Saccharomyces cerevisiae S288C: one gene and its partners. The gene in region 3 interacts genetically with the main gene of each other region. Each region holds a gene or a part of one and is shown on either strand. Other genes may lie near its edges. The genes, in order: DRN1, YLR012C, MRF1 and PCK1.

Evidence for each region.
Region 1: mutations in MRF1 (region 3) and DRN1 together harm fitness more than expected from each alone (negative genetic interaction), as found in Saccharomyces cerevisiae (one large-scale study listed by BioGRID).
Region 2: mutations in MRF1 (region 3) and YLR012C together harm fitness more than expected from each alone (negative genetic interaction), as found in Saccharomyces cerevisiae (one large-scale study listed by BioGRID).
Region 4: mutations in MRF1 (region 3) and PCK1 together harm fitness more than expected from each alone (negative genetic interaction), as found in Saccharomyces cerevisiae (one large-scale study listed by BioGRID).

The regions. Positions count from the first base shown.
Region 1 is NC_001139.9:668,370-673,186, forward strand, and holds DRN1 (Drn1p), read left to right. Parts: upstream 1-2,018; coding exon 2,019-3,542; downstream 3,543-4,817. Other genes in the region: serine/threonine-protein kinase DBF2, read left to right, coding at 1-1,538; VAS1 (valine--tRNA ligase), read left to right, coding at 3,817-4,817. UniProt on the Saccharomyces cerevisiae protein: Involved in branched RNA metabolism, modulating the turnover of lariat-intron pre-mRNAs by the lariat-debranching enzyme DBR1. Enhances the debranching activity of DBR1 in vitro.
Region 2 is NC_001144.5:169,086-172,615, forward strand, and holds YLR012C (uncharacterized protein), read right to left. Parts: upstream 1,197-3,530; coding exon 897-1,196; downstream 1-896. Other genes in the region: LOT6 (flavin-dependent quinone reductase), read left to right, coding at 18-593; GAT3 (Gat3p), read left to right, coding at 2,254-2,679; PPR1 (Ppr1p), read right to left, coding at 3,183-3,530.
Region 3 is NC_001139.9:233,105-237,820, reverse strand, and holds MRF1 (Mrf1p), read left to right. Parts: upstream 1-1,862; coding exon 1,863-3,104; downstream 3,105-4,716. Other genes in the region: GPI10 (putative glycosylphosphatidylinositol-alpha 1,2 mannosyltransferase), read left to right, coding at 1-1,552; putative lipase ROG1, read left to right, coding at 3,314-4,716. UniProt on the Saccharomyces cerevisiae protein: Mitochondrial peptide chain release factor that directs the termination of translation in response to the peptide chain termination codons UAA and UAG.
Region 4 is NC_001143.9:629,025-633,901, forward strand, and holds PCK1 (phosphoenolpyruvate carboxykinase PCK1), read left to right. Parts: upstream 1-2,127; coding exon 2,128-3,777; downstream 3,778-4,877. Other genes in the region: ESL2 (Esl2p), read left to right, coding at 1-1,356; ubiquitin-specific protease UBP11, read right to left, coding at 4,002-4,877.

The DNA of each region.
Region 1 (4,817 bases), 430 kb from region 3:
CTTACGAAGATACTTCCAACATGGACATAGACGAAGTATCTCAACCTGATATGGATGTCTCGAACTCTCCCAAGAAGCTTCCACCAAAGTTTTACGAAAGAGCAACTTCAAATAAAACACAGAGAGTTGTTAGTGTTTGCAAAATGTACTTTCTAGAACATTACTGTGATATGTTTGACTATGTAATTAGTAGAAGACAACGCACGAAGCAAGTTCTAGAATACCTGCAACAGCAAAGCCAACTTCCGAATTCTGACCAGATTAAACTCAACGAAGAGTGGTCCTCTTACTTACAAAGGGAACATCAGGTTTTGAGAAAAAGAAGGTTGAAACCAAAAAATAGGGATTTTGAAATGATCACACAAGTAGGTCAAGGTGGTTATGGGCAAGTTTATTTAGCCAGAAAGAAAGACACAAAAGAGGTGTGTGCTTTGAAAATTTTGAACAAAAAACTATTGTTTAAGCTCAACGAGACAAAACACGTTTTAACTGAAAGAGATATCCTAACCACGACAAGGTCTGAATGGTTAGTAAAACTTCTGTATGCATTCCAAGACCTACAAAGTTTATACCTGGCTATGGAATTTGTACCAGGCGGTGATTTTCGTACATTATTAATAAATACTAGATGCTTGAAAAGTGGCCATGCGAGATTTTACATCAGTGAAATGTTTTGCGCTGTTAATGCGTTACATGATTTAGGCTATACACATAGAGATTTAAAGCCGGAAAACTTCTTAATCGATGCCAAGGGACATATAAAATTAACAGATTTTGGTTTGGCTGCTGGTACGATTTCTAATGAAAGAATTGAAAGTATGAAGATAAGGTTAGAAAAAATCAAGGACCTGGAATTTCCAGCGTTTACAGAGAAATCTATAGAAGATAGAAGAAAAATGTACAACCAGTTGAGGGAGAAGGAAATTAATTATGCGAACTCCATGGTTGGGTCTCCGGATTATATGGCTTTGGAGGTTTTAGAAGGAAAGAAATATGACTTTACTGTGGATTACTGGTCGTTGGGTTGTATGCTGTTCGAAAGTTTAGTTGGTTATACACCATTTAGTGGATCATCGACTAATGAGACCTATGACAACTTAAGGCGCTGGAAACAAACTTTAAGAAGACCGAGACAATCTGATGGGAGGGCAGCATTCTCCGATAGAACTTGGGATTTAATAACAAGATTGATTGCCGATCCAATCAATCGATTAAGATCCTTCGAACATGTTAAACGCATGTCTTATTTTGCAGATATAAACTTTAGTACTTTGAGGTCAATGATCCCGCCTTTTACACCCCAACTAGACAGCGAAACTGATGCCGGTTATTTTGATGACTTCACCAGTGAGGCTGACATGGCCAAATATGCTGATGTTTTCAAAAGACAAGACAAATTAACGGCTATGGTAGATGACTCGGCAGTATCATCAAAACTTGTTGGGTTCACTTTCCGACATAGAAATGGTAAACAGGGTTCCAGTGGCATCTTATTCAACGGACTGGAACACTCAGACCCCTTTTCAACCTTTTACTAGCGTAAAAATGAATTCTTGTCTTGCATTCGCCGCGATATAATTAGCTTTAACGAGCTTCATGCAAACTTTTCAACTAGCACCTATGAACGCTTTTTTCATAAATATACATATATATATATATAGTTGTGCATTACTTAGGACTTCAAGCCCATTGTTTAAAATCTCAGTTCACGGTAACGGTCCATCCCATGACCGTTTTGAACTAAACTTAAGCATTCATGTTGGGAGCGGCGAAACTTGGTAATGTTTTACAGGAAAACAGCAATGACCACTATTAATCGAAAATCTGCAAAAAATGAAAAGGAATGGGTGTTAACATCAATTGTTTTTTCAATGATAATTACAAATTGGACTGATACTACATTGCTAGATGTACAAAAAACGCAAGGTAGCTCTCTTAGAAGGATCCATAATATATAAAAAAGGGCTTATGGTTTACTGATATCTTTTTCACTTCAAAAACTTACATATAAAAATAGGATGACAAATGCAAAGATTTTAGTAGCTCATATAAGTGAAAGCGATGCCGATGAGGCTATCAGAAAGATCAAGAAAGTGAATGAAAAATCAGGGCCCTTTGATCTAATAATTATATTCAGTAACTCGTATGATGAAAATTTTGAGCTGAATACTGATGGGTTACCTCAACTAATACTACTATCGTGTGATAAGGCTAACAATTCGAAATCCAAAAAGATAAATGAAAATGTAACATTGCTGCATAATATGGGTACTTATAAATTAGCAAATGGAATCACTCTTTCATATTTTATTTATCCGGATGATACTCTTCAAGGGGAGAAAAAAAGCATACTGGACGAATTTGGCAAAAGTGAGGATCAGGTAGACATTCTCCTTACAAAAGAATGGGGCCTTTCGATCTCTGAGAGATGTGGAAGGTTGTCTGGAAGTGAAGTTGTTGATGAATTGGCGAAAAAGTTACAAGCAAGGTACCATTTTGCCTTTTCAGATGAAATAAACTTTTACGAATTAGAGCCTTTCCAGTGGGAAAGAGAGCGCTTATCGAGGTTCCTCAATATTCCAAAATATGGATCTGGAAAGAAATGGGCCTATGCATTCAATATGCCAATAGGGGACAACGAACTAAAGGATGAACCTGAACCGCCCAACTTGATAGCTAACCCGTATAATAGCGTGGTTACAAACAGCAATAAAAGGCCACTAGAAACAGAAACAGAGAATTCGTTCGATGGAGACAAACAGGTACTTGCTAATAGAGAAAAGAATGAAAATAAAAAAATTCGAACGATTTTGCCGTCAAGTTGTCATTTCTGCTTTTCAAATCCAAACCTCGAGGATCATATGATAATATCAATCGGCAAACTAGTGTATTTAACCACAGCGAAGGGACCTTTAAGTGTTCCTAAGGGTGATATGGATATCTCAGGCCATTGCCTCATTATTCCCATTGAACATATTCCGAAATTAGATCCAAGCAAGAACGCAGAGTTGACACAGAGTATTTTGGCTTATGAAGCTAGTCTTGTGAAGATGAACTACATAAAATTTGATATGTGCACGATTGTCTTCGAAATACAGTCTGAACGTTCTATTCATTTCCACAAACAAGTTATTCCCGTTCCAAAATACCTCGTTCTAAAGTTCTGCAGTGCCTTAGATAGACAGGTTCATTTCAATAACGAAAAATTCACAAGAAATGCTAAGCTAGAGTTCCAATGTTACGATTCACACTCTTCCAAACAATATGTGGATGTAATTAACAACCAATCCAATAATTATTTACAATTTACCGTCTACGAGACTCCTGAAGCGGACCCAAAGATATATTTGGCCACATTTAATGCCAGTGAGACAATAGATCTGCAGTTTGGACGACGTGTACTAGCCTTTTTACTTAACTTGCCACGCAGGGTGAAATGGAATTCTTCAACCTGTTTACAAACTAAGCAACAAGAGACTATAGAGGCTGAAAAGTTTCAAAAGGCCTACAGGACCTATGACATTTCTCTCACAGAAAACTAAACTAAAACTATTTCATTTAGAATTTCAAATATATCCAAATATATGTATATATATGTAGAATACTAAGTCATGCTACCTCTGAACGTTTAAGAGACCTAGCAACTCAGAGGTGATGAATTAAAAGAAAAACCGGGTAAAGTTCTTCGAGAGACCGCGCTGAAAAAATTTTTTTAGAAGAGTCACCCATACAGCCTACTGGTGTTCTCTGTGTGTGCTACCACTGGCTGTCATCGTTGTTGTATGTCCTTCAGATTTATGGAATTACTTAGATGGTATGAATAAGTGGTTAAACACATTATCTAAGACATTCACTTTTCGGCTTTTGAACTGTCATTATAGGCGATCATTACCACTTTGTCAAAACTTTTCTCTGAAGAAGTCGTTAACTCATAATCAAGTCAGGTTCTTTAAAATGAGCGATCTTGATAATTTGCCTCCAGTTGACCCAAAGACTGGTGAGGTCATCATTAATCCGTTAAAGGAAGATGGCTCTCCAAAGACTCCTAAGGAAATTGAAAAAGAGAAGAAAAAGGCTGAAAAACTGTTAAAGTTCGCTGCCAAACAAGCTAAAAAAAATGCTGCTGCCACCACAGGTGCATCTCAAAAGAAACCTAAGAAAAAGAAGGAAGTTGAGCCAATCCCTGAATTTATTGACAAAACTGTTCCAGGTGAGAAAAAAATCTTAGTATCCTTGGATGATCCGGCTTTAAAAGCTTATAACCCTGCTAACGTTGAAAGTTCTTGGTATGACTGGTGGATCAAGACTGGTGTTTTTGAACCTGAGTTTACCGCTGATGGTAAGGTTAAACCAGAAGGTGTATTTTGCATTCCAGCACCTCCACCAAACGTCACTGGTGCCTTACATATTGGTCATGCTTTGACTATTGCTATCCAAGATTCTTTGATCAGATATAACAGAATGAAAGGTAAAACTGTCTTATTCTTGCCAGGTTTCGACCATGCTGGTATTGCTACTCAGTCCGTTGTGGAGAAGCAAATCTGGGCTAAGGACAGAAAGACTAGACATGACTATGGAAGAGAAGCTTTTGTTGGTAAGGTCTGGGAATGGAAAGAGGAATACCATAGCAGAATTAAGAACCAAATTCAAAAATTGGGGGCTTCTTATGATTGGAGCCGCGAAGCTTTCACTTTGAGTCCAGAATTGACCAAGTCTGTTGAAGAAGCTTTTGTTAGACTACATGATGAAGGTGTTATTTATCGTGCGTCCAGATTAGTTAATTGGTCTGTTAAATTGAATACCGCTATCTCTAATTT
Region 2 (3,530 bases), on a different chromosome or scaffold from region 3:
CGACAACCGCATTAAACATGAAAGTGGGTATTATAATGGGTTCTGTGAGGGCAAAGAGGGTATGCCCAGAAATTGCAGCATACGTAAAACGTACAATTGAAAATAGCGAAGAATTAATAGACCAGAAGCTGAAAATACAAGTAGTAGATTTACAACAGATTGCTCTTCCCTTATATGAAGATGATGACGAACTGATCCCTGCGCAAATAAAGAGCGTGGATGAGTATGCAGACAGCAAAACTCGATCGTGGAGTCGCATCGTAAATGCATTAGATATTATTGTATTCGTTACACCTCAATATAATTGGGGGTATCCAGCAGCCTTAAAAAATGCAATTGATCGTCTTTACCATGAATGGCACGGAAAACCTGCCCTGGTGGTAAGCTACGGCGGTCATGGCGGTAGTAAGTGTAATGACCAACTTCAAGAGGTACTACATGGTTTGAAGATGAATGTTATAGGTGGAGTGGCGGTGAAAATACCGGTAGGTACGATACCGTTACCCGAGGACATTGTACCACAACTCAGCGTGCACAATGAAGAGATCCTGCAATTACTCGCATCGTGCATCGAAACAACGAGGAATAAATAAACCATAAAATTTAACTGTAGTCGCAATAAAAGATGAAAAGCTAACACAATTATCATAGGACACTGTAATCCAGACTTTAATTAGTATTAAGTATTGAGTACAAAGTACAAAGTATTATACTAACGGTAGTTTGGGCTCTTCGATTACCCATACACTTTTAATGGACTAATTTCATCAAGTTTCATTCGAAAATTTTCTTAAAATATATATATGCGTAGTGGTATAGTATTCATATTTCATGAACTTATTTCATAAAAAAAGATAAAGCAAACCTAATATTTGGATCGGCGCTCGAAATTATTCTCAGTATTCTTCAGCATTAGACATCTTTAACATATCAATCTTTAAAAGGTTTCTTCTTCTTCTGTAGCTCGGAATATAAGCATTCATATATGACCATGTTGTAACGCGATCGAACCAAGCAACTTCTTCTTGTGCAAATTTCCTAGCAATACCAGGCACACCTCCTTGACGATCAAATGCAATTCTTTCAGTCTCTTGTTCAAAATCTTTTTGACATAAAGCCAGGTATTTTTCCTGTTGTTCAGGTTGCAGTTGAAGATACTGCTGGTAGGTGATTTCTTTGTAATAGACAGTCTTCATTTGAATATGTTCGAGACTTTTTCTCTTAATCTCTATGAATATTTTCTGTCTTGAAGCTGCCGTCTTCATAGAATGTTGTTCTATTATCCACCTCGAACATGGCCTTTTTATACGTTTTTACATTAAACATCCCCTTCATATTAGTTTGTTCTCGACTTAATTCTACTCATGCTTCTGACATTTTTTCATGCCAAGACCGGCCCTGAAAAAGGGTCCGGATATACGGATAGCGCCACACATTCAATTAGGGGAAGTATTATTTGATACATTGTCAGCACACAGCGATTTAACCCATTATTTGGCATGACAAGCAAGCTATTCGACAGTGAAAAATGCACAGAACATTCAAAATTATACTTATAATATGACTCTTTTCTTTTATTGCAGTTGGTATTATATACATATATATATATATATATATATGTATATGTTCCCCGAGACAATGGTTTTATTTCCAAAAAAAGTGTAAGTAAGTTATTTTCTGTGTATAAAAAAATAAAAGAAGCCAGATGAAGTGCCAGGTGGCGTACCAGGACTTCAGCTTTCTTTAGTTTGCATAATGAAAGTATCACTTACAGCTCCCTTGAAGGATTAGACGCTATTAACCCCGATGAAAACGCATCAACAAAACCTTTAACACAGTACTTATTTGGTGCAATACATACTCACACAAACACCTGTAGAAAATCCCCTTATATGAAAATCCCTTTTTTTTCTTGGCAAGTATTTCTGATAAAATGCGGACAACATTACCTGCTTAGCCGCCTGCCACAGAAAATAAGTAGGCTTCTCTGTAAAATGGAATAATAGGCTAGAGGTCAAAAACCTCCTCTTCAGTCATATCTATGTTTTTAAGGGTCTAGGGTCCAATTTGATGGAAAAGAACAAATGGTCGAGCATGTTAATTAATATTTGTTGCTCTGTTTGAAGAGTATATTATAAGACGAGAGGTTCTTTGAGGGAGCTTATCTTACCTTTTCTTGATTTGAAACAATTTCATTAAATGTAAACAATTATCAACTAGAAGCAAATATAAAGCCAGAAGGAAGAATTTGCTATGAACATTAAGACTTTGTGTCATCCAGAATATAAAAGAATCTCCGTTGAATCGTTATTGAATCCGGTAGAGGAGACAATAGACTGCGAAAAACCTCACTCTCAAACAAAAATCAATACTGCTAAACCCATTAGTGCATCTTTGTATGTCACAACGAATAATACTGCTGTTGTTCAGCACAATGTCCAAAAGAGGAAAGGCGTCACCAGGAGATGTCCACAGTGTGCGGTGATAAAAACTTCTCCGCAATGGAGAGAGGGTCCTGATGGAGAGGTGACATTGTGTAATGCCTGTGGATTATTTTATAGAAAAATATTTTTGGTTTTTGGCAAGGATCTGGCAAAACGGTACTTTAACGAAATAAAAGGTGTGAGCGTCAAACGAAAAGTTCCAAAGAGCCTCTATGGAGTTACAAGAACGCGTTAAGAGAATTTATTTCTGCTCGGAATGTTATATACTTATGTCAAAGCAGTGATTATACATTTATCGACTTTAAACAGTTGATAACGAACATTATGTGTTATTCGAAAGTCAAAGTGCCATACAAAACAAGTGGTTTCTCAGTTCTTGCAATTTTTCTTTATCAGCGTAGTCCCAGAAAAAAAAATCATCACTGGAAATGTAAGATGAATTCAAGTATCAAGTGCCGTTGGTATTATAGTTTATCAATTAATACGTAAATATATATATATATATATATATATATATATATGACTATAGTGGCATACTTCTCAATGGACTGTTGCTTCTATCATTTTATACATGCGTTCAACTTTGAAGATTATCACAAAAACCTCAAACTTTTCAATTAATCTGCCCCGGTCATTTAAGTTAGCTCTTTTAGGACTCTCATGTTTTCAAAAAATAGATTGAAAAGAGCATTGGTGGCCCTACTTTCAATCCATTGATCATGATTCTTCGAGCTATCGCTAAAATATTCCACCGGATTCAGAGTTCTTTCCTTTACTGATATCGTAAGAAGACTCGCCTTCGTTTCCGTTACCAGACCTGACAAAAAACTCATCCCATACAGATCCCGAAGTAACCTGGAAAAGGATATCCATGATATCTTGATTATTGGTATACGACTGGCAATTCAATGCAGAAGACGTATTTGTAGAAGCACTTTCATTTATCACTTGATTACCTTCGCTTACATCTAAAGTATTAAACTGGGAAACATTGCTGTGTTTTTCCAGTTCGGTAAAAAATTCATCTAGAGGTATATCAAAAGGTGCTTTTTCTTCAAAATTGGTTCTATTAAAAACCTTGTTATC
Region 3 (4,716 bases):
GTCTGATTTATTAATTTTACTACTGCCGAAATATGAGTTAAGTTGGCAAGTCGCTGAAGACTTGAAGAGGCTTCCTTTTGATGTCACACGGTCGTTCGAATATTATGGTGTGATATATGCGCCAAAAATAGTTATGGCAGTACTAGCTTCCATAGGGGAATATTATATCGTAAGATTTGTTCAAAAGCTCTATTTACTTACACTTGATAAGAGAAACGAGAAGGAGGAAGAGGAGAGACGCAGCGGTTTATCCGAGATTACGAAGTTTGCACTGCTTTTAAGTTTAACTAATTTTTTTAATTGCTTTTTTATTACAAGAACGTTCATCAACTCTTTTGAAATGATTTTAACTTCTATTGCCCTCTACTACTGGGACTGGACAGGCGGACAAATGATAAAAGAGTCATCTTTTACTAAGTCGCTTATTTTTGCATTTCTGGCATGTTTGCAAAGACCCAGCAGTGGACTTATTTGGGTAATTCCCAGCATTTCCCTAATATTAAACTTGGTAGGCAAAAAGCAGTATCATTTACTTTTCATCACATTTTCCAAAGTTTTACGGTCTTTTTTTCTGGTATTTACTGCAAATGCAATTATCGACATGTATTTTTATGAAAAAGTAACGTTTCCCTTTTTCCGATTTCTAAAATTCAATTTCACAACACCATTATCAAAGTTTTATGGGGTAGCTCCTTGGCATTTTCATTTCTTTCAAAGCTTACCTATCGTATTAGGTGCAAGTATTCCCGCTTTTGCATTTGGATTATTTTTTCCACTAAGCAAAAGGAGTTTCCCAAAGAAGTATTTAAACCCGTTTTTCCAAGTGAAACTCACTATCTTGTTGAATCTGTTGGTGTACTCTACGTTACCTCATAAGGAATTTAGGTTCATCTTCCCATTACAGCCACTTTTCATATTAATATCATCATTTGGCCTTTTGAGACTTGATAGAGATTATTGGAAAAGACTATCTGGCCTAAAATCTTTACTCTGGCTTGTTCCATTCGTGTCGGTGTTCATCGCATTACTTTTGGACACATTCCACGAATCTGGATCTATCGAAGTTATGAAATTTTTACATGAAGAGCCAGAAATAGATAGTTTGGGATTCATAATGCCCTGTCATTCGACACCTGGTCAAAGCTATTTACACCGCAGTGACATTCAAGATCTGTGGTCGATTACTTGTAACCCTCCATTGCATTTACTTGGAGACCCAGAGGCTTACTCCAAACTAGAGACCTACATGGATGAAAGTGACCATTTGTATGACGATATATCGGCATTCATTTACAAAAATTTCCCACCGCCTTTTCGTAAGGATCTAAGGAGTCCAGGTAAAACATACAGCCACGAATGGCCAACATATTTGGTTGTTTTCGAGCACATGGAAAACGCATTTCTAAAGGATTTCCTGAAAGATTCATCATACATTGAATACAATAGATTCTTCAACTCTCTTGCGCACTGGGATTCAAGAAGATCAGGAGACATAATAATTTATTATAAATTACCATTCGATTATAGCGATATTCCAGCGGCAGATATTTAAATTTGTGTATTCTTCACTTATCAGTTTACTTCATTTCGCGAAAAAGCCTTTAATTATTAGTGATTTATTTACTACATGATATTAATATATGTGTATAATTATGCAATAAGGCCTCTCAGAAAATATATGTGTTACTTCTCGTTGTGCCATCTGTACTAGGCTGAGTAATTGTGTATTTCATATACTTGTTAGGAGGATTTGCTCGCTCGGAGGATAAATACAGAGCGTTAATAGTGCGTATCATATGTTTTATAATATCTCAGGAATGAAAAGTTCGTAGAGCAGAACAATATATTTCATTGGTGCAAGCATGTGGCTTTCAAAGTTCCAGTTCCCCTCGAGGTCCATCTTTAAGGGTGTTTTTTTGGGTCACAAGTTGCCGTTACTAGTGCGACTGACATCAACAACGACTAACTCTAAGAGCAACGGCAGCATCCCAACACAATACACAGAACTCTCTCCGTTACTTGTTAAGCAAGCGGAAAAGTATGAAGCTGAACTAAAAGATCTTGACAAAGACCTTTCTTGCGGCATTCATTTTGACGTGAATAAGCAGAAACATTATGCTAAATTATCAGCGCTCACTGATACATTTATTGAGTATAAGGAAAAACTAAATGAATTGAAAAGTTTACAAGAAATGATTGTATCTGATCCATCATTAAGGGCGGAGGCTGAACAAGAATATGCAGAACTGGTCCCCCAATATGAAACGACCTCCTCAAGATTGGTAAATAAACTTCTTCCACCGCATCCGTTCGCAGATAAACCTAGCTTACTAGAGCTTCGACCGGGTGTAGGTGGCATTGAAGCCATGATTTTTACCCAGAATCTATTGGATATGTATATTGGCTATGCCAACTATAGAAAATGGAAGTATCGAATTATATCGAAAAATGAAAACGAAAGTGGGTCAGGCATTATCGATGCCATTCTGAGCATTGAAGAAGCCGGATCTTACGATCGTTTGAGGTTTGAAGCAGGCGTTCACAGGGTGCAGAGAATTCCTAGTACGGAGACTAAAGGAAGGACGCACACATCCACTGCTGCCGTGGTTGTGTTACCTCAAATTGGTGACGAATCTGCTAAATCTATTGACGCTTATGAAAGAACATTTAAACCTGGTGAAATCAGAGTTGACATCATGCGTGCAAGCGGGAAAGGTGGTCAACATGTGAATACGACAGACTCTGCTGTCAGATTAACCCATATCCCCTCTGGAATTGTTGTTTCCATGCAAGATGAAAGATCTCAACACAAGAATAAGGCTAAAGCATTTACGATCTTAAGAGCGAGACTTGCAGAGAAGGAAAGGCTGGAAAAGGAGGAAAAAGAAAGAAAAGCAAGAAAGAGTCAGGTTTCTAGCACCAATAGGTCTGATAAAATTAGAACATACAATTTTCCACAGAACAGAATCACTGATCATAGGTGCGGGTTCACATTGTTGGACCTGCCAGGTGTGTTATCTGGAGAACGATTGGACGAAGTTATTGAGGCAATGTCTAAATATGATAGCACCGAACGGGCAAAAGAATTATTGGAGAGTAACTGACGAACGTAACTTTTCGTTTCTTGTAAATATCATATCGTATCTATCACTTCTGTAAATCTTCTTTTCTATTGTTCTGCGCCACGTAAGAACTGACGCACATAGTAGATGCCCGAAATATGCAAAACTCTGTGAAATAAATTGTACCGCCTCAACAGTTCAGTAAGAATAGTACACAAAGAGAGTGAAGTACGAACCGTGTTTTGCTCAAGATGTCTCTGACACCAACTAATGAAATATTGTTTCATTACAAGTCTTCAGTGAAGGTTGGTGAACTTGAGAGATATGTAATTACTTATCATCTTTATGACGGTGAGGAAATTCCACCAGATTTGAATTTAAATTCCTTGTGGTTAAAGGTGAGAAATATGAATCCGTTATCGTATAGAGCTGCGTACCTAATGGGTCCATTCATGCTTTATTGCGATGTAAAAACTGCCCAATATCATCATTCCCAAAAAATAGTTGCTTCAGTTGATTACCCCAAATTTGAACCGAATGTGCAAACTCAACAAGATTTCGTGGCTGAACTTTCAGTACATAACATACGACAGAAATACGTATGGATTGCTGATGTGATGAGTCAAATATTGTTCACTACAAATACGAACGTCACTTACGAAGTCACTATTGGAACTAGTAAAGAGTCAGTAGAAAATCCGCATGATCTGCCATCTCATCTAGGTTCTTATAGCCCTAAACTTACAGTGAACAGGTTAACTACCTTGGATTTGTGGAATCTTCCCGTTCAGATTACCACACCACAGAAAAAGAAACATCTTGTAGTTTTGACACATGGTTTACATTCTAATGTGTCGACCGATCTAGTGTATATTATGGAACAGATATACAAAGCACAAAAGAATTATCCCCACGAACAAATTGTTGTGAAAGGTTATAGGGGAAATGTCTGTCAAACTGAGAAGGGAGTTAAGTATTTAGGTACTCGTTTGGCCGAATATATTATCCAGGATTTGTACGATGAATCCATCCGCAAGATTTCTTTTGTAGGTCATTCATTGGGTGGCCTAATCCAGGCTTTCGCAATAGCGTACATTTATGAAGTCTACCCTTGGTTTTTTAAAAAGGTGAATCCAATAAATTTTATTACTTTAGCTTCACCGCTTTTAGGTATAGTCACAGATAATCCCGCCTATATTAAAGTACTACTTTCATTCGGGGTTATTGGAAAAACAGGTCAAGACTTGGGTTTGGAAAATGATGTTGAAGTAGGCAAACCGCTTCTCTACTTGCTATCTGGTCTGCCCTTGATAGAGATTTTGCGTAGGTTCAAAAGGAGGACAGTATATGCGAACGCTATTAATGACGGAATTGTCCCATTGTATACCGCATCGCTATTGTTCCTAGACTATAATGATATCTTGGAGCAATTACAGAAACTAAAGGAGAACAGCAAAAAATCACCGCTAATAAATGATGCTTCAACACCTGTGAATCAAGATTTCTTCAATAAAACTTTCATTTCGCCTCTGACTAAAATGTTGAGTATACTGGCGCCACAAAAGTTTCCTACGGAGAATGGTTCCGAAATTCCTAAAGTATCATTTTTCGAGTCAGCAAGCTCAATTCTCCTTCCTCCTTTACCTGAAAGAGC
Region 4 (4,877 bases), on a different chromosome or scaffold from region 3:
AGAGCTTTTCCATGGGATACAATGGTTACCTTTATGAATGTTTTGATTGTGTATTTATTGGATAACCAAACATCGAACTCTATTATTGGAGATTTATGCGATGACTACGATAAATTAAGCCTTTCTGAACTTTTAGAATTATTCAATGAAGGCGAAGAATTACCAGAAATTTTGGGCTGTTGGGGAACATTGTGGTTTGACACAATTTGCGAAAAGAATACGCATTCGATTAGTAGTGAAGATAATTTTCAAGAAATCGGTATAAAAGATTATATGGCATTGGATTCGCCGACAGATGGAATTATATTTGATGAAAAGGACGAAAATGGTGAAAAATTCTGGAAAAGGGCATGCAGAACCATATTTCTTTTTAGAGAGCTGTCAAGAAGTTTTCCAATAGGCGTAATAATCAGAAACGATCCGTTGATATATCGTTCATCATTTCAAAATACTAATATATTGGGAAGTTTAGTCTTCAAACTCGAACCCTTGTGCAATATACACAACAATATACCAGTATTAGGTGCCCTGGAAAGTATTATTGACATATCTGAGGCAAGAAGTGAAAACAACACTGATCTGCACGCTGTGCCGGAACTAAGTGTCAACGAGGGCGATAATATCTTCCACTATGTTGGCTACAAGAAACTTCGTGCCGATTATACGTGCTTCGATAAAAATGGAGAATTTTTAAGCGCCTCGCTTTACACTACATGGTATGTCCCGAACAGCAACAACACTAACATAGAGGACAACATCAATTATAACAGCGAAAAGGAAAATGAAGGTCTATTTCTGGAATGTATAAAATCTGATTATCCAGAAATAGATTTTAAAACTACATACTTTGTCTTTGATGCAACTTCTTGGCTAAGACATTCCGCACGCATATTCAAGCTAGCTCAAAACAGACTGCTAAGATTTGCCATTTGTTTAACCACATTCCAAGAGCTGAGATTTTTACGAAAGTCAAAGGACGAAAACGTCATGGAGGCTGCCACAAGAGGTATAATAACTATAAGGCAGCTTTACTATGAGAATAAAGTATTACCCCTAAGATTCACAGGTAATGTAGCGACACACATCGAAGAGAACTTAGAATTTGAAGAACAAATAACATGGAGGACACATGTCGACGAGTTTGTCATCGAATCCGTAATGAAGGCGCAAGAAAAACTAGAGAGTGCCAGCGAACCGCGTCTTTCCCCTCGCCGCTTTAACTACGTAGTTCTGATATCTGACGACGACGCCATGAAGAAAAAAGCAGAAGAAAAAGAAATAAAAACGCTAAGCACACGATTTGTGTTTTCTTTGTGCACAAAACTTGGCGAACAGCGCCATCTGTGTACAGACTGATCGTTCGTTGTACGTACATTTACAACAACACCAATTCTACTCACCGCCATAAATAACACTTTAATTTTAATATATACTTTTATATGCATATAACCAACTGACTTCCATACAATTCTGACCAGAGCACTTGGGCAGAGCCCCCACCCAGGGCCTTGTCGGAAAAAATCGGAATATCCCACACGATCCACCGGAGAATATCGGGACGCTGACGGGTGAATGGAGATCTGGATTTCCTAATTTGGATACATCTCTTTTCTTTTTTTGACTCACAATAGGAAAAAACCGAGCTTCCTTTCATCCGGCGCGGCTGTGTTCTACATATCACTGAAGCTCCGGGTATTTTAAGTTATACAAGGGAAAGATGCCGGCTAGACTAGCAAGTTTTAGGCTGCTTAACATTATGGATAGGCGGATAAAGGGCCCAAACAGGATTGTAAAGCTTAGACGCTTCTGGTTGGACAATGGTACGTTTGTGTATTAAGTAAGGCTTGGCTGGGGATAGCAACATTGGGCAGAGTATAGAAGACCACAAAAAAAAGGTATATAAGGGCAGAGAAGTCTTTGTAATGTGTGTAACTTCTCTTCCATGTGTAATCAGTATTTCTACTTACTTCTTAAATATACAGAAGTAAGACAGATAACCAACAGCCTTTCCCAGATATACATATATATCTTTATTTCAGCTTAAACAATAATTATATTTGTTTAACTCAAAAATAAAAAAAAAAAACCAAACTCACGCAACTAATTATTCCATAATAAAATAACAACATGTCCCCTTCTAAAATGAATGCTACAGTAGGATCTACTTCCGAAGTTGAACAAAAAATCAGACAAGAATTGGCTCTTAGTGACGAAGTCACCACCATCAGACGCAATGCTCCAGCTGCCGTTTTGTATGAAGATGGTCTAAAAGAAAATAAAACTGTCATTTCATCAAGCGGTGCATTGATCGCTTATTCCGGTGTTAAAACCGGAAGATCTCCAAAGGACAAACGTATTGTTGAAGAACCTACCTCGAAAGACGAAATTTGGTGGGGTCCGGTCAATAAACCATGTTCTGAAAGAACATGGTCTATCAACCGTGAAAGAGCTGCAGATTACTTGAGAACAAGAGACCACATTTATATTGTCGATGCATTTGCAGGATGGGATCCAAAATACAGAATCAAAGTCCGCGTTGTTTGTGCCAGGGCTTACCACGCTTTATTCATGACAAATATGCTTATTAGACCTACAGAAGAAGAATTAGCCCATTTTGGAGAACCTGATTTTACTGTCTGGAACGCTGGTCAGTTCCCAGCCAATTTACACACCCAGGATATGTCTTCAAAGAGTACTATAGAAATTAACTTCAAAGCAATGGAAATGATCATTTTAGGTACCGAATACGCCGGTGAAATGAAAAAAGGTATTTTCACAGTTATGTTTTACTTGATGCCTGTGCACCATAACGTTTTAACTTTGCACTCTTCCGCCAACCAGGGTATTCAAAACGGTGACGTTACTTTATTCTTTGGCCTAAGTGGTACCGGGAAAACCACTTTATCCGCAGACCCACATAGATTGTTGATCGGCGATGATGAACATTGTTGGTCCGACCATGGTGTCTTCAATATCGAAGGTGGTTGTTACGCCAAGTGTATTAATTTATCTGCCGAAAAGGAGCCTGAAATTTTCGACGCTATCAAGTTTGGTTCTGTATTAGAAAACGTTATCTATGACGAGAAGTCGCATGTAGTCGACTATGACGACTCTTCTATTACTGAAAATACTAGATGTGCCTACCCAATTGACTACATTCCAAGTGCCAAGATTCCATGTTTGGCGGACTCTCATCCAAAGAACATTATCCTGCTAACTTGTGATGCTTCGGGTGTTTTACCACCAGTATCTAAATTGACTCCTGAACAAGTCATGTACCATTTCATCTCTGGTTACACTTCTAAAATGGCTGGTACTGAGCAAGGTGTCACTGAACCTGAACCAACATTTTCATCTTGTTTCGGACAACCCTTCCTAGCCTTGCACCCTATTAGATACGCAACCATGTTAGCTACAAAGATGTCTCAACATAAAGCTAATGCGTACTTAATCAACACCGGCTGGACTGGTTCTTCCTACGTATCTGGTGGTAAACGTTGCCCATTGAAGTACACAAGGGCCATTCTGGATTCTATTCATGATGGTTCGTTAGCCAATGAAACGTACGAAACTTTACCGATTTTCAATCTTCAAGTACCTACCAAGGTTAACGGTGTTCCAGCTGAGCTTTTGAATCCTGCTAAAAACTGGTCTCAAGGTGAATCCAAATACAGAGGTGCAGTTACCAACTTGGCCAACTTGTTTGTTCAAAATTTCAAGATTTATCAAGACAGAGCCACACCAGATGTATTAGCCGCTGGTCCTCAATTCGAGTAAACGAAACATGTTCGTTCGATATGTTCAATCCAAAAAAAAAAAAAAGAATTAGAATTATTTCGACATCATAAATGTTCGTAATATATTATTTTGTCAATTTTTTCTCTTCCCATTTCAGCTTTTTTTTAATAACTGAAACTGGATCAACAAGCACATGTTTTTCTAATTAATCTTTCAAACATATTTATGTATATACATAAGGAAAATTCAAAAATCCGATGCAATTAACAGAATTCTTCTTCATAGTTCTCTTCATCCATTCTTTCGTAGAATAAGACGTATACCTCATCGCTAGACATTTCTGTTTTGCCGGCTTCAAAGTTGTTGCGATCCTTGCGATGTTGCTGTATATAATCGTCATCAAATGTAACCCAAACTTGTCTATTCAGTCCAATTTCATGGCTCTTTTCTTTGTTCACAACAGAAGTATAGTGTCCATTGATAAGGTTACCGGAATGATTCACCGTTCCATATAACTTGTATCGAATCACTTTACCGTTCTTTAAAATAATGTTCAATATCAAAGGGTAGGTTATTACAGTGCTGTTTTTTTTTGTTAAATCATAATAGAACCTTGATAAATGAATGACAAGTATCGGAGGTAAAACTATAAAGTCTAAACTCTTAATCGTGGTTAACTTTTTAGAATTTCGCTTCTTTGCATTTTTTGTTGAATCATCGCTGCTATGGTGATGATGGTGATGATGGTGGGGTGATTTTGACCTTGATCTGGAATGAAAACCGAATATGGTTGATTTTTTCTTCTGGCTAGTAATTTCTTCTTTTTTGGATTTAGAATCAGTAATTCTACAATTAGGACAATCCCAAGCATTGTCGCCTGACAGTTCTTCATCGCCTGTAAATAAGTTTATGCAATCCTCTAATTTAATTTTTCTCGACTTACTTGTAAAGCTATACAATGATAGTTTTGGAATCGCAAGTGACAGAACATAGAAGGTAGAATAGCTATAAGAAGAATTACCACAGCGCTGACATTTCAAAATGTTCTCCAACTGCCCTCGATATATGTGATCAATTGGAGATAAACCATCAGTAATAACATTTCTCTCGTACCATTTCTCGTATTTGGATGGGTTAAC